4 linked regions of the Arabidopsis thaliana genome follow. The protein of the gene in region 1 purifies or fractionates together with the protein of each later gene. This does not show direct contact. Each region holds a gene or a part of one and is shown in the gene's direction. Other genes may lie near its edges.

Region 1 (5,291 bases):
TATTCTTAATAGCTCTATTTCATTTGATTGTTGAATCTCGTTTTATTTGCTTGTTGTTAAACTCTATTGTTTTACTCGACTGTTGAACTCGACTTGCTTGCGTCTGATCATTTATGCTTCTTTGATTTTGAGTTGAAGTATGTGTTCCTGGTCTTTAGTGCTTTATTGATTTGTGTTCCTTGTTTTTCTTTAGTACTGGTAATCTTGCATTTTCTTTAGTTTATTGTTTTGTTTACTTTTGGTCTTTAGTTTCAATTGATATGCATGCTGCTTCATTGCTTAGTTGTTTAGTTCTTTACATTCTCCTTAGTATAGTTGCATTTGAATTTGGTATTGCATGTTAATCTATTGTTTAAGTTCAATAGAAACCCAAACCTTATCATATTTGACTTGACTTGACTTAAATAATTGTTGTTTATGTCTTGAATATTTGCAATCACACAAAGGATTGGATTGATACCCTTCTATGCTGCAATGATATTGATATGCTTAGTAGGGAATTCATAGATCATTGAGATAGTAAAGTATAAAATGGTTCTCTGAGACAAATTTTTGGCCTTGGTTATAAAGAACAAACTGTTTAGTATTGCTGAGATGTGGCATGTAGTTGTTATAGGCTCTCTGATTCTGAATGTAATTTATCTATTCAGTTTGAGAAGTCTCTCCTTCTTGGATTTAGAAGTATTTTTCTTTAGTAATATAGTGGGATGGCCTCAGTTGAGATAATAAAAGCGTGTCCAAACGAAACTGATAGTTTTGATTCCAAATGGAGATTATTTTCTAGAACCTAAAAACCCCAAAACAAAAAAAAAATCCGGAAATAAAGTTGTTTAGTAATTTTTCTTCAGTGACTTCCACTCCTTAGATAATCAATATCGTAATTGTTGTCATTGTTACTAGAAAACACATAAAATAATTTCCAAAATTTATATGTTAAGTAATATGTTGGAAACCCTAAAATCTGATGTTTGCTTGAGCTCATATCGCAACTTGTACGTTTACGTGAAGTCTAATCCACATCTGACTACTGCTAAAGTTAGTTTATCCTATTTAGTTTCTTCTGTAGTGGGGATATAATTTTCATAATCGTGACCGCTTCATAACAATGTCGAATGGGCCAAATCCGCGAACACTTCACCTAGTTAAAAGTTAAAAACCTAATAAAGGTGAGTTACATTACCTAAATCTTGATTTGAACTAAGCAATTTTCATGCTATGCGGGTTAGATTTCTAAAATTATTAGATCATTTATTAGCAAATATCTTTTGTATCAGATTACTTTGCCATATAACTAGGTGTTTAAGAATAGAGGAAGGATGTGAACACATGTTGAAAATGATGTCTAAACGATCGAATCCAAATTAACACTTATAAATCGATCCGGAAAATCATGAAAATGAAAAGAAATGTATAGTGTTAGTTAAACTGTAATTAACTTAAACATGACAAAATATTTTATATAAGTGAAGTTACTAAATGATTCGTCTTAATAGAAACATAGCCTTAGCTATATATTTTTTTCCTTAGGTTGGATGTTTCCACAACTCCGCATTTCATATTTTGTTTCTAAGGTTATGTGGTGGTAGTCCGATGTTTTAGGTCAAGTTTTGGTCGATGGTTCTTCTTTCTATCTTTGACATTTTCTTTTCTTGGCTTTCAATCAGTCTTTCATATCTACTACAGCGGTAAAAACAGTTGGGCGTCTTTAAGTTTATTCTACTCTAGTTCAAAATCATAAGTGATTGAGATCTTATTAGTTATTGTTTTTTCGGTTTATATCTCGACGTTACCGATGTTGGCGAATAGCACAAGGTTCCCTAACCTTAACCTCAAAAGAAAGATCCACTAAATAGAAGTAAATAAAGCATATGATTCAATTTCAGAAGTTTACAAAACACTAAACAAGAACATGAAAACCAAAAAATAGTGAATTGTCTTCTTTTTTGGGAATAGTATCTCTGGAGATTTCAACATTTATGACCAACTTATTTTTTTGGAATACTTTTTTTTTATCGTTGACTTTATGTAATTTCTAAATTTTACTATGACAATTTTTTTTTTTTTTTTTTTTTTGTCGTTTTTACTATGACAATTTAAATTTAGTTTATAAGGACTTGTGATATTAAACTATTAATAACAATATGATTTAAATTTTAAATATAATTTATATTTCCACATATTGTTCTTAGTGTATATTCTCTGTATTTTCCATTTCGAGTCTGTGGAGTGGTCTCTCCCCTCTCTACCCTAAAACACACTCACCCACTTTCCTCTGTATAAGCCTCTCTCTCCTCTCTCTTCTCCTCTGCCATGAAAATCGCAGTTCCTCAAGACAAAACCTCCTCAGAAATCTCCCATCTTTGATGACTTTTGCTTCCTTAGTTTTCACTTTCTTGTCCGAACGCTCTCAAAAACTTTGAGACCACCCCAATAAACGAATTAAACAGACTATTATCAATCAATACACAACACAACAATCAAACCAAACCCCATGGCTGAGAATCTTGCTTGTGGTGAAACCAGCGAGTCATGGATCATTGACAACGACGATGATGATATCAACTATGGCGGCGGATTTACGAACGAGATTGATTACAATCACCAACTTTTTGCTAAAGACGACAACTTTGGCGGCAACGGATCAATTCCGATGATGGGTTCTTCTTCATCGTCCTTGAGTGAAGACAGAATCAAAGAGATGTTGGTGAGAGAGATTGAGTTTTGCCCTGGAACTGATTATGTTAAGAGATTGCTTTCTGGTGATTTGGATTTGTCTGTTCGAAACCAAGCTCTTGATTGGATTCTAAAGGTATGTGATTTCTTCTTTTGATTGCTTTGATCTGTGTTGTGTTTTAAGACAAACCTCAAATCTGGTTTGGTCTCTTTTTGTGCTTTGTGATTGAGTTTAAGTGTGTTCTTTGATCAGTTTGATAGCTCATTCATTCTCTGATGTATTTATTATAGATTAATTGAATCTTCTCTATAGATTGAGGTATTGATCTTGTTGAGTAATTGAGTTCTTTTGTCTTTAATGCCAATTGTTCTACAGGTTTGTGCTCATTACCATTTTGGACATCTGTGCATATGCCTATCCATGAACTACTTGGATCGGTTCTTAACATCCTATGAATTGCCGGTAAGTTGCATCGTCTTTGCGGATTGGTTTCATCGTATTCGAGACAATACGATGACCGGTTTGTGTGTTTTCGATTGCGTAGAAAGACAAGGATTGGGCTGCTCAGTTACTAGCTGTGTCTTGCTTATCATTAGCATCCAAAATGGAAGAAACTGATGTGCCTCACATTGTTGATTTACAGGTGCAACTTACATTTAGTCCTTAATAGCTTCAGTCTTCTTACGAAGAGTCGAAAATCGAGGTTTTAGTGGAACTAATCTTGAAATGTTGTTCCTATGAGCAGGTGGAAGATCCCAAGTTTGTTTTTGAGGCCAAAACAATAAAAAGGATGGAGCTTTTGGTTGTCACCACTTTGAATTGGAGATTGCAAGCTCTAACTCCATTCTCCTTCATTGATTATTTCGTTGACAAGATCAGTGGTCACGTGTCGGAGAATTTGATCTATAGATCGTCAAGATTCATCTTAAACACCACCAAAGGTGCGTCATTTATTGATCAGAAGCAAGCTATAACAACATTCTTTCTTTATTTGCAACTAACTTGGCTTTGTTTAATGAGGAAGGCTGATACGTTTCTGTTTATAAAATTGAATGCAGCAATTGAATTCTTAGACTTCAGGCCTTCTGAGATAGCTGCAGCTGCTGCAGTGTCTGTTTCCATTTCAGGAGAAACAGAATGCATTGATGAGGAAAAGGCACTGTCTAGTCTCATATATGTAAAACAGGTAATTAACATTCGGTATGATAGCGAAAGACTTAAACCTTTACTGTTTCAAGAACACACATTTCATCTGATCATTGTCTTCCTTTAGCAGGAGAGGGTGAAGAGATGTTTGAATCTGATGAGAAGTCTCACTGGGGAGGAGAATGTGCGGGGAACTAGTTTATCGCAGGAGCAGGCGCGAGTTGCGGTAAGAGCTGTACCTGCAAGTCCAGTTGGAGTGTTGGAAGCAACATGTTTGAGCTATAGGAGTGAAGAGAGAACAGTTGAGTCATGTACAAATTCCTCACAGAGTAGTCCAGACAACAACAACAACAACAACAACAGCAACAAGAGGAGGAGAAAACAATGAGAGAGAATAAAAGAGTCATACATTGCTTTTTACAACCCAAAACCACAAGTACTCATGACATTTGAGGTTCTTATTTATTTTTTTGGTTTTTTTTTTCTACATAAATTTTCTTTTTCTTTCTTTGATTTCTCATTTTCAATCTGAAAATTGGATTGAATATGAGAGTTTTGTGAGAAAGGAAAAAAGAAAATAAGAGAGAGAGAGAGAGCTCTTTGGAAGGCGGCAAAATTAATAAGTCATTATTGATGATGATGAGAGACATCCCTGTTCTTGCTCCAAGGGACTTTTTTTTTTCTACATAATGTCAGAGATATAATTAAAAAAAAAAGAAATAGAAAGAGAATTAATTTTATGATTTTTGTGTCCTCAAATATGCACTATAGTATATATCTTTTATTTTAACATATGTCAGAAGTTATAAAGTATCATATAATGCAGTAGAGATTATTTTAAATTTATATTAAAAAAAACTTTTATCACAGAAAAATCTATATTCTCTCCATTTTACAAAAAATTTGTTGTTCCTATAAATATGCATATATCATGTTAAAAAAAACTGTTGTTCCGATAAATTTTTATCACATAAAAATCTATATTTTCTCCATTATCGGAACATACAATTTTTTCTAAACTGTTCTAAATCACATCGTAGTGACATGAGATTACATTTTTGTGAATGTAGTATTGAATTGGAACACTGTAAATATTGATGACTCTAGTACCTATAATTTAAATTCAAATTATTTAGAAGCTTTTCAACAATTAAGTAAGATATTCCTAAATATTTTCAACAATTAAGTAAGACATTTCCAAAAAAAATTTAAAAATAATACTAAATTTGTGCTATTTGTGGAACATTCGAAAACATGTGATATTTTTTTTGAAACTAAACTTATTTTTGCCCTTAAATATATTCAAGTTCTTACTATTCTCAAGAACTTCTAGTTATAAAAAGAAGTACAATTGACATTATTTAAAATTAAAATAATTTCTAAAACGATATACAAGAGAATTTATTTTTAAAAACCCTTACTATTTACCTGGTTACTGGTTAGTAACTTATTACATATTAATACAACCCTT
Region 2 (5,267 bases), on another chromosome or scaffold:
TACTGAGGTAATCTAATTCGACGCTTTAGTTTCATTACAGTTTACAAAGCTTGCATCTTTTGGCCGTTTCATGAGTTTCACTGACAATGTCTCGTTAGAAAATGAGAAATATCTGTCATTTGATTTTGATGGGTTTTATATGGGCTACACTGTTAAAACTCTGTCTCCATTCTCGTCATAGTGGTTTGTCTGATTAGGTTTGAGCCTCCCATCAGAAACCCTAACAGTAGAGACAGTTTAGTAAAAGTGAATCCATAATCAGAAAATCTCATCAATGGTTTTTGTTGTTGTTGTTTCCTCTGAAAAGGGATATGACAAACCAACATTGATGAGGTTCCTGGTGGCAAGATCAATGGACCCAGTCAAGGCAGCAAAGATGTTTGTAGATTGGCAAAAATGGAGAGCCTCCATGGTTCCTCCAACTGGATTCATCCCTGAGTCAGAAGTGCAGGATGAATTGGAATTCAGAAAGGTCTGTCTTCAGGGTCCGACCAAATCCGGACACCCATTGGTGCTTGTCATAACCTCTAAGCATTTTGCTTCTAAGGATCCAGCTAACTTCAAGAGTAATCACCTCTCACTTGCTTCTGACCTTTACTTTCGTTGGAAATAATCTGTCCCTTGACTTTCAGTGACTTTTGTATTCATAGAACTGATCAGCTTCTTTCCTGGTTCTCTAATTATTGAGTAGTTTCATTTGACTTCAAATGAATGAAGTTTTTTGAGTCCATCTATGTGTTTTCCTTGAGTTGATTCTTGCGATAATTATCTATGAACTAATCTTTTATCTGTTTGATGTTGCAGAGTTTGTTGTTTATGCGCTAGACAAAACAATCGCAAGGTGTTTACACATTATTGAAACCAAAACACTTCAATAATCTTCCGGTTAGTTGGTTGTGAGACAAGCTTTTTGGTTTTTATGTTTCAGTGGCAACAATGGCAAAGAAGTTGGAGGTGAGAAATTAGTAGCCGTTATTGATCTGGCAAACATTACATACAAGAACCTTGATGCTCGTGGATTGATCACTGGCTTTCAATTCTTACAAGTAAGCATCTCCCTTCTTCCTGAAACAATATAGTTATCACACAAAAAGAAGTCCTGTCTATTAAATTTGGAAAATGTTTCTCTAGTCTTACTACCCGGAACGCCTTGCAAAATGCTACATTTTGCATATGCCCGGATTCTTCGTGACCGTTTGGAAATTCGTCTGCCGTTTTCTAGAGAAAGCAACTCAGGAAAAGGTTTGATCTTTAATCTCCTCTTGATGTATCTATCTCTAATGGTTCTTGAGCAACGAATCACATAAATTATGATTTTGCTGTTGCATAGATTGTGATAGTTACGGATGGAGAAGAACAGAGAAAATTCGAGGAGGAGATCGGAGCAGATGCTTTACCGGAAGAGTACGGTGGCCGAGCTAAGCTCACAGCAATCCAAGATGTTCTTCTTCCTCAGGCTGCTCCAGTAACTCTAACAAACAATAATGTTTAGCTCTTTATTTTTGGAAGCATTAACCTGAATATTTGTAATGGTCAGAACATAACTAGTGGTACATCTCTAAATTTCCAAAAGAAGCAATGAAAACATGAGAAAGTAATGCGAATATATTCAATCTGGTGACTGAGTGCTCGCTCTTGCTTATCTTTTCTTATTCACATCATAAGTAAGCTGTAAAGCAGGATTGATCAACAGACCAGACTAACTTCTAGAAACTTAATGTCCTCTTGTTGTACGTGTAAGATTCCAAAGTTAGCTATAGATGTCTTTGAGCTAAAAACCAGAATCACGAGCTCTTAAATATGATCCCTAAGCCTTGTTATATGACAAAAGACTTTTCAACAACTTAATATTTCCAAAAGAAGAAATGATGAAACACATGAGAAAGTTGTGTGAATATACTCAATCTGGTGAATGAGCAGTTTCAAACATCATGCTGTTTCTGTATCTTAAATTAAACAATCTTGCTGTTTTGAATTTTGAAGATGTTGGTCAATTCACTAACACACTTTAAAGTCCCAAGCTTTTTTCTATCAGCCGCCTCCAAAATCTCTCTATCTCTCTGTCTCTCACTTCTTCTTCCTCACGGCGGCGACAATGGCGACGTTCACTCATCAAACCCCACAAACCCATTTCCTCTCTCGCCTTCCTCTCAGAGCTAAACCTAGACACTTCTCCGCAAGAGTCAAAATGTCTCTCCAAGAATCTGCGCCTTCACTCGCCGTCGTTGGCGTTACCGGAGCCGTCGGACAAGAATTCCTCTCCGTCTTATCCGATCGAGACTTCCCTTATAGCTCCATCAAGATGCTTGCATCGAAACGCTCCGCAGGGAAGCGTGTTGCCTTCGATGGCCATGAATACACGGTGGAGGAGCTCACGGCGGATAGCTTCAACGGTGTAGACATAGCTTTGTTCAGTGCTGGTGGATCCATAAGCAAAGAGTTTGGTCCTCTGGCGGCGGAGAAAGGAACCATTGTTGTTGATAATAGCTCGGCTTTTAGAATGGTTGATGGAGTTCCGCTTGTGATTCCTGAAGTGAATCCAGAAGCAATGAAAGGGATCAAAGTTGGAATGGGCAAAGGGGCTTTGATTGCAAACCCTAATTGCTCCACCATTATCTGTTTGATGGCTGTTACGCCTCTTCATCATCACGCAAAGGTTCGATTTTTATTCTGAAATCTGCTTAGTCCAAAATTTTGAAGGGTAGTTAGAGAATCAATGGAAGCTTTAGACTTTAGTGCTCTGAATAATGTTTGATTGGCTATAATAGGTGAAGAGAATGGTGGTTAGTACATATCAAGCAGCTAGTGGTGCTGGTGCTGCAGCTATGGAAGAGCTTGTTCAGCAGACTCGTGAGGTTTTGTTTCTATTTCAGCCTTCTTTGATTGAATTGTTTAATGATTGTGCTGAGTTGTGATTCTGCTTCTTCGTCTTCTTTGCATTGGTGTGTTTTCTTAGGTTTTAGAGGGTAAACCTCCGACTTGTAACATCTTCGGGCAGCAGGTGAGTGCTTAATTTGCTTATAGTTTGTATTTCGAATGTGCTGATTATGAAATCCCTTTTTGAGTAATGTGATGGTTTTGTATGTTGTTCTGCAGTATGCATTTAACTTGTTTTCACATAATGCTCCTATTCTTGACAACGGTTACAACGAAGAGGAAATGAAACTTGTGAAGGAGACAAGGAAGATCTGGGTGAGTGGTTACTTAAGTGCTATTTTGTGTTCATTTCACTTTGATCTTTTGTTCAAAAATTTTAGATATCTCACACCAATTTCTTGCCCTTCACAGAATGACACAGAAGTAAAAGTAACAGCAACGTGTATACGTGTTCCAGTTATGCGTGCTCATGCAGAGAGTGTGAATCTTCAGTTTGAGAATCCTCTTGATGAGGTAATAACACACGTCGAACCCGATTTCTACTGATTCTGTGTTGTTGTGTTACCTTATGATTTCACTCACTGATATGACAATTTGAATCATAATTTGAAGTTTTAAACCACATTCTATGGTTTTAATTTAACTCAAGCCATTGAAAAATGTGGAGCAGCATGTAATCAGCATAAGTAGGCTTGGATAGTTCTTGATGCACTTGCAGAGTTAAACCCTGAAGTTGTTCTTTGGACTTGCTCTGGTAGCATGTATTGTGATTCTTGTTGCGCAATTAAAAGAATCTTATGATCAAGTTCTTATTCAGGTTATAACGGTTTTTCTTACTGTATCATAACAGAACACAGCAAGGGAGATACTGAAGAAAGCACCTGGAGTTTATATAATAGATGACCGTGCTTCAAATACTTTCCCTACTCCACTCGATGTCTCTAACAAAGACGATGTAGCGGTTGGTAGGATAAGGCGAGACGTGTCTCAAGATGGCAATTTCGGGTAAAGTCTCACTCTTTTCTACTGAATTTGAAGCAAATGTCTTTGCGATATGCCTAAAAGGATATAACTTTGTGAATTCAGGCTGGACATATTCGTTTGTGGAGACCAAATACGCAAAGGAGCTGCTCTGAATGCTGTTCAGATCGCTGAGATGCTTCTCTGAATTTGAACCCGCTCTCACTTTGCTTCTTATGAAATTCTTGACAAAGAGATCACTGTATTATTAGATTTGAGCCAAGAATTTGTCTCATTTTTTGTTCTGTGAGTTTTCTATTTTGACCAATTTTGTTACTTTGATTCATAAAGTTGTCTCTTAAATCTGAACTCATCATGCACACGCTTGAACCTCTTGGCAATTTTCCGGTTCGAATCTGTACCGACTTGGTTGATCTCACCGAAGACAACCGGGCTCCACAATTATTTGACACACTGAAGACTGAACCAGTGGGGGCCCACTTTATTGATAGTTATAGCAAATATTTACTTGTTTAGTGGATATTATCAAATCCTAAAATCACTCCTTCGTTACTAAGACTAGGGAGGAGACCCGCGTTGTTTTTGGTTTTGTTTTTGGTTTTGTTAGTATGCACTAACCACTTCGATTTTTTTTACTGATCTTTGATTAAAAAGGGAATATCTTTGTTATTTGCTAATCTTATCTTTTGATTTCTACATTTTTGTAATCTATGTATAGTTTTACATTTTTTTTTCATGTTGTTACCGGTTATATGCTAGAATTTATAGGATAATAGACCAAACTTACTATCTTGTAAGAATATTTTTTAGAGTTATATATATCTAAGCAATGCATTTGTTACATTGGTCTTGTTTTTATATATTTTATTTTAAATTAAAAATACAATGGAAATCTCTCTCTCTCTCGCATTAAGCGGTTGCTGCAGAGGATAGCGAAGAACAGAGACTAACGACGAAGTTATTTTACACATCGTTGCCATTGTTAATTTTGGCCCAATATGAACCCGCCCATTTGTTTTTTCTCTTTGTGTCTCTGTTAAAATCTTAGAAACTACTCTTTGGTTTGGGGAAGATTTCACTTTTCAACGTCTCTTCGCGAATTAGCCAAAAAGAGTTGGATTATAACAATATTAACATTGAAAGTACGATATGCTTAGATAATTAATTAAAAGTTTGATTTTATTGTAAATATAAATTTCCTTATAACAGCAAGGAATGACACACATTAAAGCAAAAGAAATAAGAGTAATAACTTTTACTTTGTTTTGAGTCTTTGTGATAGTTCACTGCCACAAACATTATAGGGAATTTTTTAAAAACAGTTTCCAACTCTCTAGTTGTTTTGTTTAAGTTATACCATAAAAATAAACTTAAACATTTGTTTGTAGAAAAAACATTTCTCACATGTG
Region 3 (6,041 bases), on another chromosome or scaffold:
CTTGGTAAAGGATCCTTTCAAATCCAAACTGTTTGAGATGGCAAAACGTTAGGGCGAGGGCTTGAACAGTCAGATGTGGCATGTTCATAATTGTCTGCACCATCAACGAAGGAATAAATTAGCAGGAATTGCAGTAAGCATTTAATAGATGAAAAAAACTTTTTGAAAGCAAGATGTGGTCATTAACAATATCGCATTAACAGATCATCATAAAAAATAAAATAAAGGGAAAGTTTTTAGAAAGTCAAATGACATACATGAACTGTCAAGCAAGACATTCCTTTTTCAGCAGCCTCCAGCTTCATTTCTTTATCATCTTCTAAGTTACCTGCGCTGATTTTTTCACATAATGAAATAACCTCATCTACTGCATTACCATTGCTGAAACAATCCAGTGAGGCACGTTCCACTCGAACGTTTGAGGTAGGTCCAGCATGTGCCACCAAAAACTGCCAAACAAAGATACCACACGAACATCTATCAGTACATGTATACACATCGACCAAGAACAGAAGTTCTAGTCTTCAAAACTAATCCATATAGTGATTATACATACAGACAAAGATTCTTGTCAAACTGTTCATCAGGAAGGATTCAGGGATTAGTATAGACAGAATCTTGTAAAACTAACTGAGGAGCTAAATTGTTCAAAATTAATCAACAATGCTTGAATTAGTAATATTTACTCGTACACAGATAAACGTACCTTCTCAGTTTGTTGTGAAAGAGGCTGGCCAAGCAACAGCTCAGCTGGTGACAAGCTCAAAATCACAGCCTCTAATCCACTTCTCATGAAATTATCATTGAACTCTTCATAAACAACTTCACCTGTCGAAATTTCAACGCCAACAACACCGACTCTAACATCAAAACTCATTTCAATACCACAGCCTAATGTCTCCGACTTAACTCTCTCATCCACAACACAAACCAAGAAATTACTCTGTGAACCAAAACCTTCTTCACCACCACAACCACCACTTATATCCTCAGCCGCTTCAAGCGTGGCTTTGGTATACAACGCCGACAGTCCCCGGAAAAAAGGGCCGGTCCGGTTTGCACCATGGGACTTAATGGCTGCAGTTTCAGTCTGCTTCACTACACCAATCTTGTATCCTGCATTCACCAGTCTTCTCACATGGAAATTCAATCGAAATGTTGGCACACTCGCCGTCATGAAATTGTGATCCATATGAGCGTAAATACCCAACACGCGTGCTGCGATCTCCGCGTCTTCTCCGAAGAATCTGTACCTGTAACCAACTTCCACCATCAAAACCACATCTGGGTACTTGCTCTTTAGCTCCACCACTTGCTGTTCCAATGGTGTGTATTTCCTCGATGATGACGTTTCGGGAACATATTCCTCCGGCGAGGGTTCCAGAAATCTCTGGAGAAATCTTTGGTGTAAATTGGGATCGGGTACTGGGTTTTGAGTGTGAGGAGAAAGTTTAGGCTTTTTGGGTGACGCGGCGGCGAGGTGGTCGGAGAGAAGCTTACGCTTGGAAGGAGAGAAGGATACAGTGGCGGATATCTTCGGTGGCGGTGTTGATGATTCGGCTACCGGATTCGGTTCGTGAGTCGGGGATTTGGGTTTGGGAGCGAAGAAACGAGAAATCGTCTGCTGCTTTTGCTTGCCCATAATTGCTTTATTCGTAATCTCCTCCGTTTAAGAGAAATGGAAGGTCGTGGTCGTGGCTATGGCGAACTTGGGTTGCCAATTTTCGCGCGCTTTCTTAGGTTGCCAATCTCTCTAATCCATCACTGTCACTGAACAACAAAGTGACGAAGCCATCGGTTCGGAGCGGTTATTATGGGCCGGGTCTTTATAAATGGGCCGGTATTTTTTAAATGGGCCTAAAGTGCCACTATAACAAATGAGTATACTCTAGAAGTTGGTGGTGTCATTAATTCTCCGTCGAGATCGCTTCTCTCCCCGTTGCCGTCCGTCCCCACCGCTGAGTGATAGATCGAAACAGAGAAACACACACGGCGAAGAAGATTTCACCATATTTTGTCTAAGTGGATTCTGTTGAGAGAGAGAGATGGCTATGTCTCAGGTGGTGAACACGTACCCGCTTTCGAACTACAGCTTCGGAACTAAGGAACCCAAGCTGGAAAAGGACACCTCCGTCGCCGACCGGCTCGCTCGTATGAAAATCAAGTACGATTCCTCTTTCCTTCTTTCTCTTTTTTGTTTTCTTCTTATAGCTACTGCTGGAGAAGATGCCTGAGAATTGAAAACCCTAGAAATCTCCAGGCTTTTACATTCTTAGATCATGATCTCGATGTTTTCTAAATGCTTATCTGCTTTCTCGCTGCTGCTGAATTTACTAGCTTCTCCTTAAAGGAATAATCTTTTGGCCATTTTACACAACTTTAAGGTTTCAAAACTACAACTTGGTGGTACATATATTGTTAGAACAACTTCTTCCAACGATCTGTGTTTTTTTTTTGTGAACAAAGAACAGCTATAGGCTATTTAAATTTCCAGTGAATGATTTGATTAGGGAACAGATATAGCTACTGTATATGTTATACAATACTTTAGTTTTGCAAGTAAAGTCTCATGCTTTTTACATGGATACATGAAGTCTGGAATTTGATAGCTCTTACTTAAGACATTCTGGAGTCTGATTATCTCTTTCTTGTTTTCTTAATGGGGTGTTGCAGCTATATGAAAGAGGGCATGAGGACTAGCGTTGAAGGGATTCTACTGGTATGATAATTTTCGATCTGCTCTACTTGTTATCCAACTCTTCTGTAGTTTTCTCTGTGTTGTTTAACTGCCCACTGTCTTAAAATCGGTGGTACAGTTATGTGGTTCAAGACTTGAGTGGCCATACTGTCATATACATAATGCCACTGAAGTGTCACTTTATTTGTACTTAATCGTAGCGTTCTCTGTAAATATGTGTTCTCTACCCAATGTATCATTTAAAACTTGGCAGAGATATAGATCTGTGTGATATTTTGATTGAAGTCATCTACTTCCTTTTCTAGTTGCCATCTCCAACACAATTTTGTACTGATTGGGTAACCTTATATTACGAAGAAGCTCGAATCACATAAGTGGATTAATCTGACCTTAATATATAGTCACAAGCTTTATGGATCCAATGAACTTAACCTGCACTTAATAAGAGTCATAAAAGTGAAGGGTGCCATTTATTGATGCATCTTATTGTTCCGTTTCTTTCATTGTTTGTATGCACCATTGCCCTTCCAAGCTTTAATATTTTCCCATGGAGTATCATATGCTTCAAATAATTTGCGTTTGAGTCTAGCAATTACTACCACCTAATTTGATTTGATTTTAGTGATATCTCTCTAACCTAAGATTCTTCTTAATACCTTATGCTGCTTAACATATTAGGTGCAAGAACACAACCATCCTCATATACTTCTGCTACAAATTGGTAACACATTCTGCAAACTTCCAGGTGGACGCCTGAAGCCTGGTGAAAATGGTATACAGTTACCACCCGTTAGTAATACTTTCTACACTGTTATGAGTTTCTTGGCTGCTTAAGTTTTGGGTGTACTATGTTGTGTCTGCAGAAGCTGATGGTCTGAAAAGAAAGCTGACCAGTAAACTTGGAGGCAATTCGGCTGCTCTTGTACCTGACTGGACGGTACTATTCTGGTTTCTTCTTTTTCGTTGAGTGATAGTGACAAGATATTTAGGGGTAGATAGATGCCTTAAAAGAACTAGGTTGGTGTTGCATGTGCTTGCTCTTAAAGCAAACGAGAAGCAATTGAAATTATTTTGGTTATTACACTTAAGCATGCCAGGAATGAGGGTTCATAAAAGAAAACAAGGATAGGCCTGGTAGCTTTGCTAGAGAATCATATACGTACTAGATGAAGAAAGAAGACTTTGCCATGAGTCCACAGTTGTCTGATTGAGTTATGTATATAGCTCTGTCCCTGATCCGTTGGGTACTTTATGTCCCTTTAACAGGTAGGAGAATGTGTTGCGACATGGTGGCGTCCAAACTTTGAAACCATGATGTACCCGTATTGCCCTCCTCACATCACGAAACCAAAGGTAGTAAAAAAACACAATGTAAAGCTTCTCAGAATTTCCCTTTACTCTTCTCCTTATATCTCCTCTTTTTTGTGGAATGGCAGGAATGCAAGAGACTCTACATTGTTCACTTGTCTGAGAAAGAGTACTTTGCTGTGCCCAAAAATTTGAAGCTCTTGGCCGTCCCTTTGTTCGAACTCTATGACAATGTTCAGGTTTTGCTTATATCCAGAATACCAACCTTTGGAAAATGGTTTTTACCTCAAACATCTAACCGTATATTATTTTCTTGAAACAGAGATATGGACCGGTTATATCAACCATTCCGCAGCAGCTATCCAGATTCCATTTCAACATGATTAGTTCGTGATTTCGACTCGGTGTGTTCAAGAACAAGGAACCTATCAGATGGGTAAGTTACTTAGGTACGGTAGAGAGCTGTAGCTACCGGATTAGAGATGGGGTTTTCCAATGATGCGAGTTGGGTTTTTTGCATTATAGACTTGTTGGCTTTTATGTAGAACCGGTTCAAAGTGTCAGCACAAAAAACAAAGATTATTGTATCTCATTTTTAAAAGCATTTGTCATTGTTTGACTAACGCCTGTCTTCTCTAACCGTAAAACATGTGTTTCATTCAATGTTGAATGATGTTTTTATTTTGGTGCATAAAACTAAGCCATGTTTAACCTTCTTTGTCAACATATTTCATAAAGTTTTATCAACATACCACAAGGCCTAATGGTCGAAGGAGGAGAAGTTTTGTTGTAGACGAACAATCTAAAGTATCCTAGTTATCATAACATTAGATGTATAAAATTTATTCTCCGAGGGCTAAGGATTAAGTCATCATAACATTAGATGTATAAAATTTATTAGTCGTGTTTCATTGGGGATTAGTTTGACGGCAAATTATATTATGTTATCAAGACGACCAAGACAAGGTAGACACTTTTTTATTGTTTCCCTCTCAATTTTCTTTACTCGTCATTTTCCACAGGCCAAAAGAGCCAACAAGTAAAAAACAAAATCAGAGTATTTTTAAAATTGGGACAGGCCATTTCGATCGGGACAGAAGGAATTCAAATTGTTGAAATTCACAATATTCCTCAAATAACTCTTATTATTGGTCCACTTGTCAGTGTGAATGTAAGAAAAACATCGTGAGAGGAAAAAATATGAAATAATTACTAGCAGCAAATAGGAGCTCAATGTTGACTTCACTACAAAATTTTATAATTAAGAGAAAAAGAGCTCTCAAATCATATAATAATTATTTCAAGTACTTGTATTAGCAAATGCAATTTGTCTGCTTGCTAATGATGCTTTACGAAAAGATTAACAGATTGGATGATTCTCTATAATCATTACTTCATTATTCACAATCATTGGATTGAATCAGACAGATTATTCCACCCGGATGATCGTTTCTAACCAAAAAACTCATTGACGCGATTTAAACATAAATTAAAGAAGTCGTTAATATAAAATTCTTGCCGACATTTTAGAGATTTTTGGATATGAAGATGTTATCTGATTAGTGTGTAAATTCTTAAGGCATCGTCCATTATAAATGAAGTAAATATAAGGAAAACAAACAATAAGAAAACAAAGTGAAAGAACAAAAACAAGCAAAGATTCTTCTTTTTTTTTTTTTTTATAGGTAGGAATCTCAAATCTTATATATACTGAAAATTGCTAATTTATTTTAAGTTGGAACATTATATCAATAATTTAAATTTATCCAAGCAGACTTTTGACACCTAATTAATCCTTACATATTCCATTATGACTTTTCTCCTCACTGCTTATACAAATGCATACAGTATACTCATAAGAAATTAACACATAAATTATATCCCAAATTTTCATAAAAATAGAAATATATATGTCATTTGTCATTTACTCTAAGCAGGCCCATTTGGTCATTTCTTAACACCAAGTATGTAGGCTCTATCTGTGGACGTTTGGTGATATATATGTTGTCTCAATCACCATATATAGTATTGAGAC
Region 4 (5,395 bases), on another chromosome or scaffold:
CCTACTAATATATATACAAAAAAAGGTTATCGATATCTCTTCTCTGTACAAGAGATCGAGTCATGAGGAAATGGGCCCGTAAAAGAGTAAAAGAAATGTACAATGAAGAGGAGACAAAGCCATGATCCTGCCTTTTGCTTTGATCTCTTCTTTTTTGTATGGGTTCCACTACGTTCGTTACCCATGCCCCACCCACGTTTTCGACGGTTCCTCGTCTTTTTTTGGTTCTTCTCTCACTCTTATTATACACTTGTTTATCTTTTTTAGATTCAACATTTTAAATAGTGATTGTTGTTTGTTCGAACTTGGGTCTTATAAGTCCTAATCAACATTTAATTGGATCCATTAGAAACAGTTCTTTCATTGGAGCTACGTGTTACGTTTTTCTGATATATGATAAATATTACAAATAAGACTAGCCATTTTAGATTTTCAACCGTAAGTATGTGTAGAAATACACGGTTTTAAATTTATAATCAACAAGGTAGTAGAAAAGATAGATAGTCCACACTAGATATGAGTAAAATATATACATCAAGTCATATTATATAAGGTGGGAACTATTTGTGGTTTTATTATAATCGTTAGAACGATATCTCGAATTTATTTAGCTCAAAAACAAATATCACTAGAAAACTACTACATCAAAATCAATACCATTTCTTACAAAACAATATGGCATATTGATAGAAGAATGTACAAATCTTCGATGCCATAAACAGTCGCATCAGAACAGTTGCATGACCGTGACCATGCGAAGTAGTGTACATCCTCATCCTCACGTTCGAATGAACGTTCTCGTAAATCGTTCCTACAACACATATCCCTAAAGAGAGAGCAACACATCCTGTTTGTTTAATGATTCGGCCACTAAAATAAACGTGTAGTTAAGACCAAAAACGTAAAGCACACCTGATTAGAATATTGATCTCTAAGAGTAAAGAACGCATATATTGGTGGTTTTGGCGGAGCTAAATTCCAAAAACCGAACATAAGACAGGTAGTTAGAAATGATTTTAGAGTATTTGTTTTTAAAAATGAAATCCTTTAGAAAATGCAATTTCTTGGGACGATAAGAATGAGAAGAAGACACGATTCTGAATTTTTCTGAGGCCAACTTCATGGCCGACTTTGGAAACCGCATTCTTAGCCACTGAACGGCGCCCTTAATACCATAGACTATTCTCAATTTTGTTATTAAAAATACAGCCAAGAAACAAACCAAAAAAGAGCACGAAGAAGACAAAAGACTTAAAAAAAAGTTTCAAAAGGAAGAGATTTGTGGGTGTAACACATGCCACGATAAACGATTCTCCTAGTAATAGTATCTGTCCACCGATGATCTAAACGACCAATTTGGCATTTCCCAGTTACTATCATAATTAATCATATTTGTCACGTAGATTCAGATGTAAGATTACTAAAAAACATCTCAATTATTTTCACAATCTTAGACTTAAGTGTTTATAGCATGTGGATAAGGGATCATGATCATAAGTTTATAGTTATGTTTAGTGTTTTGTTTTTGGTAGTTTTAGTTTCAGGCGGTTTTGAAACACTTTTTCCGATCCGACCTATACTCATTTTATTTTTTTTGTTTTATTTACAATTTAATTTACAGATTAGACATTAACACATATTTTCAATTTCTCAAAATTATCCAAAATATTCATATCTTAAAGATGTGAAAATTTATCAGAATTAGTGAATTCGAAGTGTAATTTAGACGATTTAAACTATCCGAATCCGATCAAAACTATACGATTAAAACTATCCGAATCCGAGCCAAAACGGTATTTAGTAAATTTAATATTTTATTCCGTATATTTCTAGCAATATATTTAAATACTCCTGCCCATTACCTGTTTATACGCAATTACCTCTAATCATCTACAAACCTGTCCCAATTGGACACTTCTGGCTTCCCCAGTCACAGCCTAAACAGAGCTTGACTCAATAAACAGCAAATATAATTGCATCAAAACAATACTTTTTTTTTACAAATTTTTTATTCCGGAAGTAACCCCAAATGGTCAATAAGGTTCCAAATCTCTGAAAAGGAATGAGGTCACAACCCCACGTGGGATACCAACTAGCCACAGTGGCACACACTCGTAATATATAGAAACCTCCAAGGTCATTTTCATAGTTCTATCCCCTTATAAGCAATAGCCACAACTCTCTTTGCTAATTACATTTTACACTCATCTCGTTCTCTCTTCCGTCAATATGGAAGGCGTCACCGTCGTGTCTTTCTTCCTTCTTTTCATCGCCACCGCCATGGCCGCCAAGTCCACCGTCTCCTTCCGTGACGGTAACTCTATTTACACATATACATACACATACATTCATTACATATTCCGGTTTACTACATTAATAACAAAGTTCTGATTTATCACTTTCAAGTCTGAAAATTGGAATTGGGGTACTATACAATTCAAGTTTTTTTTTTCCTTCAAAGTATATTAACATACCTTTTTTTTTATGTTGATATATCTTGAAGAAAAAAAGCTTAAATTGTACCTCAAATCCAATTTTCAACCTTTGTGTACAGTAAATTATGGCAATTTTATTTTTTATTTTCACAAATTTAGTGGGAACAAAAACTCATTTCACTCAAAATTTTATATAGAAGCGAGAAATAAAATCTTATAATTATAATTGTGATATGAATAATCAATATAATGCTGGTACCTAAAAAAAAGTTTCTGAATGGTTATGAATCATAACTTTGTTGGTATCACTAGTACGAACCTGCCTCTGCTAGCGATAGTACTTAAAAACAAATAAAAATATTCGTTTTGTTACGCTTTAAAATTTAGATTTTTTAAGAAGACGATGTAATAAAAATTACAGCTTCCTTTGCCCATGTTTCTGACACAAACACAACACCATAAAGTTTTTGGACATTTCCAATCAATGAAGTTGAGAGTAGGTCCTTTAGTTCATGTTACATTTAGGACCAGTTTAGGCTGTCTTCGGACACACCTCACGTGCTCTATGTATATCTTTTTCTTTTAAAAAAATTCCAAAATTCCTAATATTCACAAGGACATTTTGATAATATCCACAGGCATGTTACCAAACGGAGACTTCGAGCTAGGACCAAAACCATCAGACATGAAAGGAACAGAAATACTAAACAAACTAGCAATACCAAACTGGGAAGTCACAGGATTCGTCGAATACATTAAATCAGGACATAAACAAGGAGACATGCTTCTCGTTGTTCCCGCCGGTAAATTCGCTGTAAGACTTGGGAACGAAGCATCGATCAAACAAAGACTTAAAGTGGTTAAAGGAATGTATTACTCACTCACTTTTAGTGCTGCTAGAACTTGTGCACAAGACGAGAGACTTAACATATCTGTAGCACCTGACTCCGGTGTGATTCCGATTCAGACGGTTTATAGTAGTAGTGGTTGGGATTTATATGCTTGGGCGTTTCAAGCTGAGAGTGATGTTGCTGAAGTTGTGATTCATAATCCTGGTGTTGAGGAAGATCCAGCTTGTGGTCCACTTATTGATGGTGTTGCTATGAGATCTCTTTACCCTCCTAGACCAACTAATAGTAAGTCATTACTATAAATACTCTGTTTCTTGCTCTGTTTTTATAATCCTTGAACATGTGAATAATGATGATTTTCTTTTATGTTTGATTTGGCAGAGAACATTTTGAAAAACGGAGGATTTGAAGAAGGTCCATTAGTATTACCCGGCTCGACAACTGGAGTTTTGATCCCACCGTTTATAGAAGACGACCACTCTCCTTTACCTGGATGGATGGTGGAGTCTCTCAAAGCTGTCAAGTACGTAGACGTTGAACATTTCTCAGTCCCACAGGGTCGCAGAGCTATTGAGCTTGTAGCGGGTAAAGAGAGTGCCATCGCTCAAGTGGTTCGGACTGTCATTGGGAAGACTTACGTGCTGTCTTTTGCGGTTGGAGACGCCAACAATGCTTGCAAAGGATCAATGGTGGTTGAGGCTTTTGCAGGAAAAGATACACTTAAGGTCCCTTACGAGTCGAAAGGCACAGGAGGGTTTAAACGAGCTTCTATTCGATTTGTGGCGGTTTCGACCCGATCAAGAATTATGTTCTACAGCACTTTCTATGCCATGAGGAGCGATGATTTCTCGTCATTGTGTGGGCCTGTGATCGATGATGTCAAGCTTATAAGCGTTCGTAAACCATAGATGAATCACCAATCCTATTACAAGAAAATGCATCGTGTGGTCTTCTTTTATTTTCCTTAAACTGTCTTTGGTGTGTGTTGGATTTTATTGAAACGAGAAGGTGAAAAAAACAGAGTTTTATTTACGAGAGTTAGGGTTTTATATAGGCAGATGGGCCTTTGCTTATATTGTATTTTCTTGTATGAGAAGGCAAAAGAAACGTTGCCTATATCTTATGTATCTAGGCCTTTTAATTTTTATGGAAGAGTTACAAAACTTACAATAAAGTTGTATGCATATTTTACTTCTCACGAGCATATAAGACTGAATCACAATCGAGCATTTCCAATGAAGTAACAGAAGCATAAGAAATTTAGCATTTAAGTTTTGTTAAAGCAACATAAGGGTCACATATAAACATTACAATAGTAAGTTTGGTAAACACGAATGTTAAAGAAAAGAGACTAGAGAGGACTCATCTCATGTTTTATTGATGAAGTGCACTCTAACAGCAGTAACCAGTTCTCCAGAGCGTTCAAGTTCACAAACCATAGAGTCTCCGGTTTTCAGATTGTACTTTCGACATAGGTCCACCCAGCCATTGAAACAAGGGGCACTGCCACCGCCATAGATCTTAGTGGAGCCATTTATTTTATCTCCGGGAAGAAGGTAATGCATGGGGGACAAATGGGGACCAAACTTCAAGCCATACTTCTTAATCACTGTTTTGGGCACATACTAGTTGCACATTGTACATGAGAAATAGAGAGAAAGATAAGTCTTAGATTTAGAGGCAACAAACGTAAACTAGAATCAAAACTGATGAAAACACTGCTCTTATTACCAAAACGTCATTCCCTTTTGTCAGCGTTTTCACAAAGTAAGGGTTTTTGGGGTTTAGAAGGTACAGCTCAGGGTTTTTGATATCAGCACAACCATGTGTCTCTCGCCAATTGTCTGAAAATTCTGCCAAAACAGAAACAAAAAGAAGCAAACTTTGGCATTGAGAGAAAAGAAAAGAGTAGTATTGAGTATGAAGAGCATCAAAACGATTCTTTCATTCTGAATATAGCCATACCAGAAGCAGAAGCAGAGGCAGAGGCAGTGGTTGTCTCCTTGTGAGAATTTTTTGGTGTAGTAGGATGAAATGGTTCAGTTTCAGGTTCAACTTCAGGAGGTGCATCGATGATCTCGTTCCCATCATTCTTAAAGATTTGCACTT

The links.
Region 2: the proteins of CYCD2;1 (region 1) and AT1G14810 purify together in Arabidopsis thaliana (affinity purification with mass spectrometry, with the first as the bait; one large-scale study listed by BioGRID). This does not show direct contact.
Region 3: the proteins of CYCD2;1 (region 1) and AT4G25550 purify together in Arabidopsis thaliana (affinity purification with mass spectrometry, with the first as the bait; one large-scale study listed by BioGRID). This does not show direct contact.
Region 4: the proteins of CYCD2;1 (region 1) and DGR2 purify together in Arabidopsis thaliana (affinity purification with mass spectrometry, with the first as the bait; one large-scale study listed by BioGRID). This does not show direct contact.

Annotation. Positions count from the first base shown.
Region 1 is NC_003071.7:9,553,074-9,558,364, reverse strand, and holds CYCD2;1 (Cyclin D2;1), read left to right. Parts: upstream 1-2,219; 5' UTR 2,220-2,491; coding exon 2,492-2,809; intron 2,810-3,049; coding exon 3,050-3,136; intron 3,137-3,218; coding exon 3,219-3,317; intron 3,318-3,419; coding exon 3,420-3,615; intron 3,616-3,732; coding exon 3,733-3,860; intron 3,861-3,947; coding exon 3,948-4,208; 3' UTR 4,209-4,562; downstream 4,563-5,291.
Region 2 is NC_003070.9:5,101,462-5,106,728, reverse strand, and holds AT1G14810 (semialdehyde dehydrogenase family protein), read left to right. Parts: upstream 1-1,878; 5' UTR 1,879-2,095; coding exon 2,096-2,656; intron 2,657-2,768; coding exon 2,769-2,855; intron 2,856-2,956; coding exon 2,957-3,001; intron 3,002-3,096; coding exon 3,097-3,192; intron 3,193-3,288; coding exon 3,289-3,390; intron 3,391-3,425; exon of another isoform or gene 3,426-3,547; coding exon of another isoform or gene 3,548-3,577; exon of another isoform or gene 3,578-3,727; coding exon 3,728-3,882; intron 3,883-3,963; coding exon 3,964-4,045; 3' UTR 4,046-4,170; coding exon of another isoform or gene 4,171-4,291; 3' UTR 4,292-4,305; downstream 4,306-5,267. Other genes in the region: AT1G14820 (Sec14p-like phosphatidylinositol transfer family protein), read left to right, coding at 1-7, 308-566, 805-841, 929-1,046, 1,132-1,242, 1,331-1,492; AT1G14800 (Nucleic acid-binding, OB-fold-like protein), read right to left, coding at 4,171-4,291.
Region 3 is NC_003075.7:13,046,474-13,052,514, forward strand, and holds AT4G25550 (Cleavage/polyadenylation specificity factor, 25kDa subunit), read left to right. Parts: upstream 1-1,893; 5' UTR 1,894-2,045; coding exon 2,046-2,164; intron 2,165-2,673; coding exon 2,674-2,719; intron 2,720-3,376; coding exon 3,377-3,470; intron 3,471-3,561; coding exon 3,562-3,635; intron 3,636-3,964; coding exon 3,965-4,051; intron 4,052-4,134; coding exon 4,135-4,245; intron 4,246-4,328; coding exon 4,329-4,400; 3' UTR 4,401-4,800; downstream 4,801-6,041. Other genes in the region: homolog of DNA mismatch repair protein MSH3, read right to left, coding at 1-94, 258-449, 707-1,642. UniProt on the Arabidopsis thaliana protein: Component of the cleavage factor Im (CFIm) complex that plays a key role in pre-mRNA 3'-processing. Involved in association with CPSF6 or CPSF7 in pre-MRNA 3'-end poly(A) site cleavage and poly(A) addition.
Region 4 is NC_003076.8:8,861,201-8,866,595, forward strand, and holds DGR2 (transmembrane protein, putative (Protein of unknown function, DUF642)), read left to right. Parts: upstream 1-2,023; 5' UTR 2,024-2,229; coding exon 2,230-2,314; exon of another isoform or gene 2,315-2,320; intron 2,321-2,754; exon of another isoform or gene 2,755-2,775; intron 2,776-3,048; exon of another isoform or gene 3,049-3,073; coding exon 3,074-3,571; intron 3,572-3,667; coding exon 3,668-4,194; 3' UTR 4,195-4,477; downstream 4,478-5,395. Other genes in the region: AT5G25470 (AP2/B3-like transcriptional factor family protein), read right to left, coding at 4,654-4,911, 5,018-5,139, 5,252-5,395. UniProt on the Arabidopsis thaliana protein: Involved in the regulation of testa rupture during seed germination. Required during roots and rosettes development.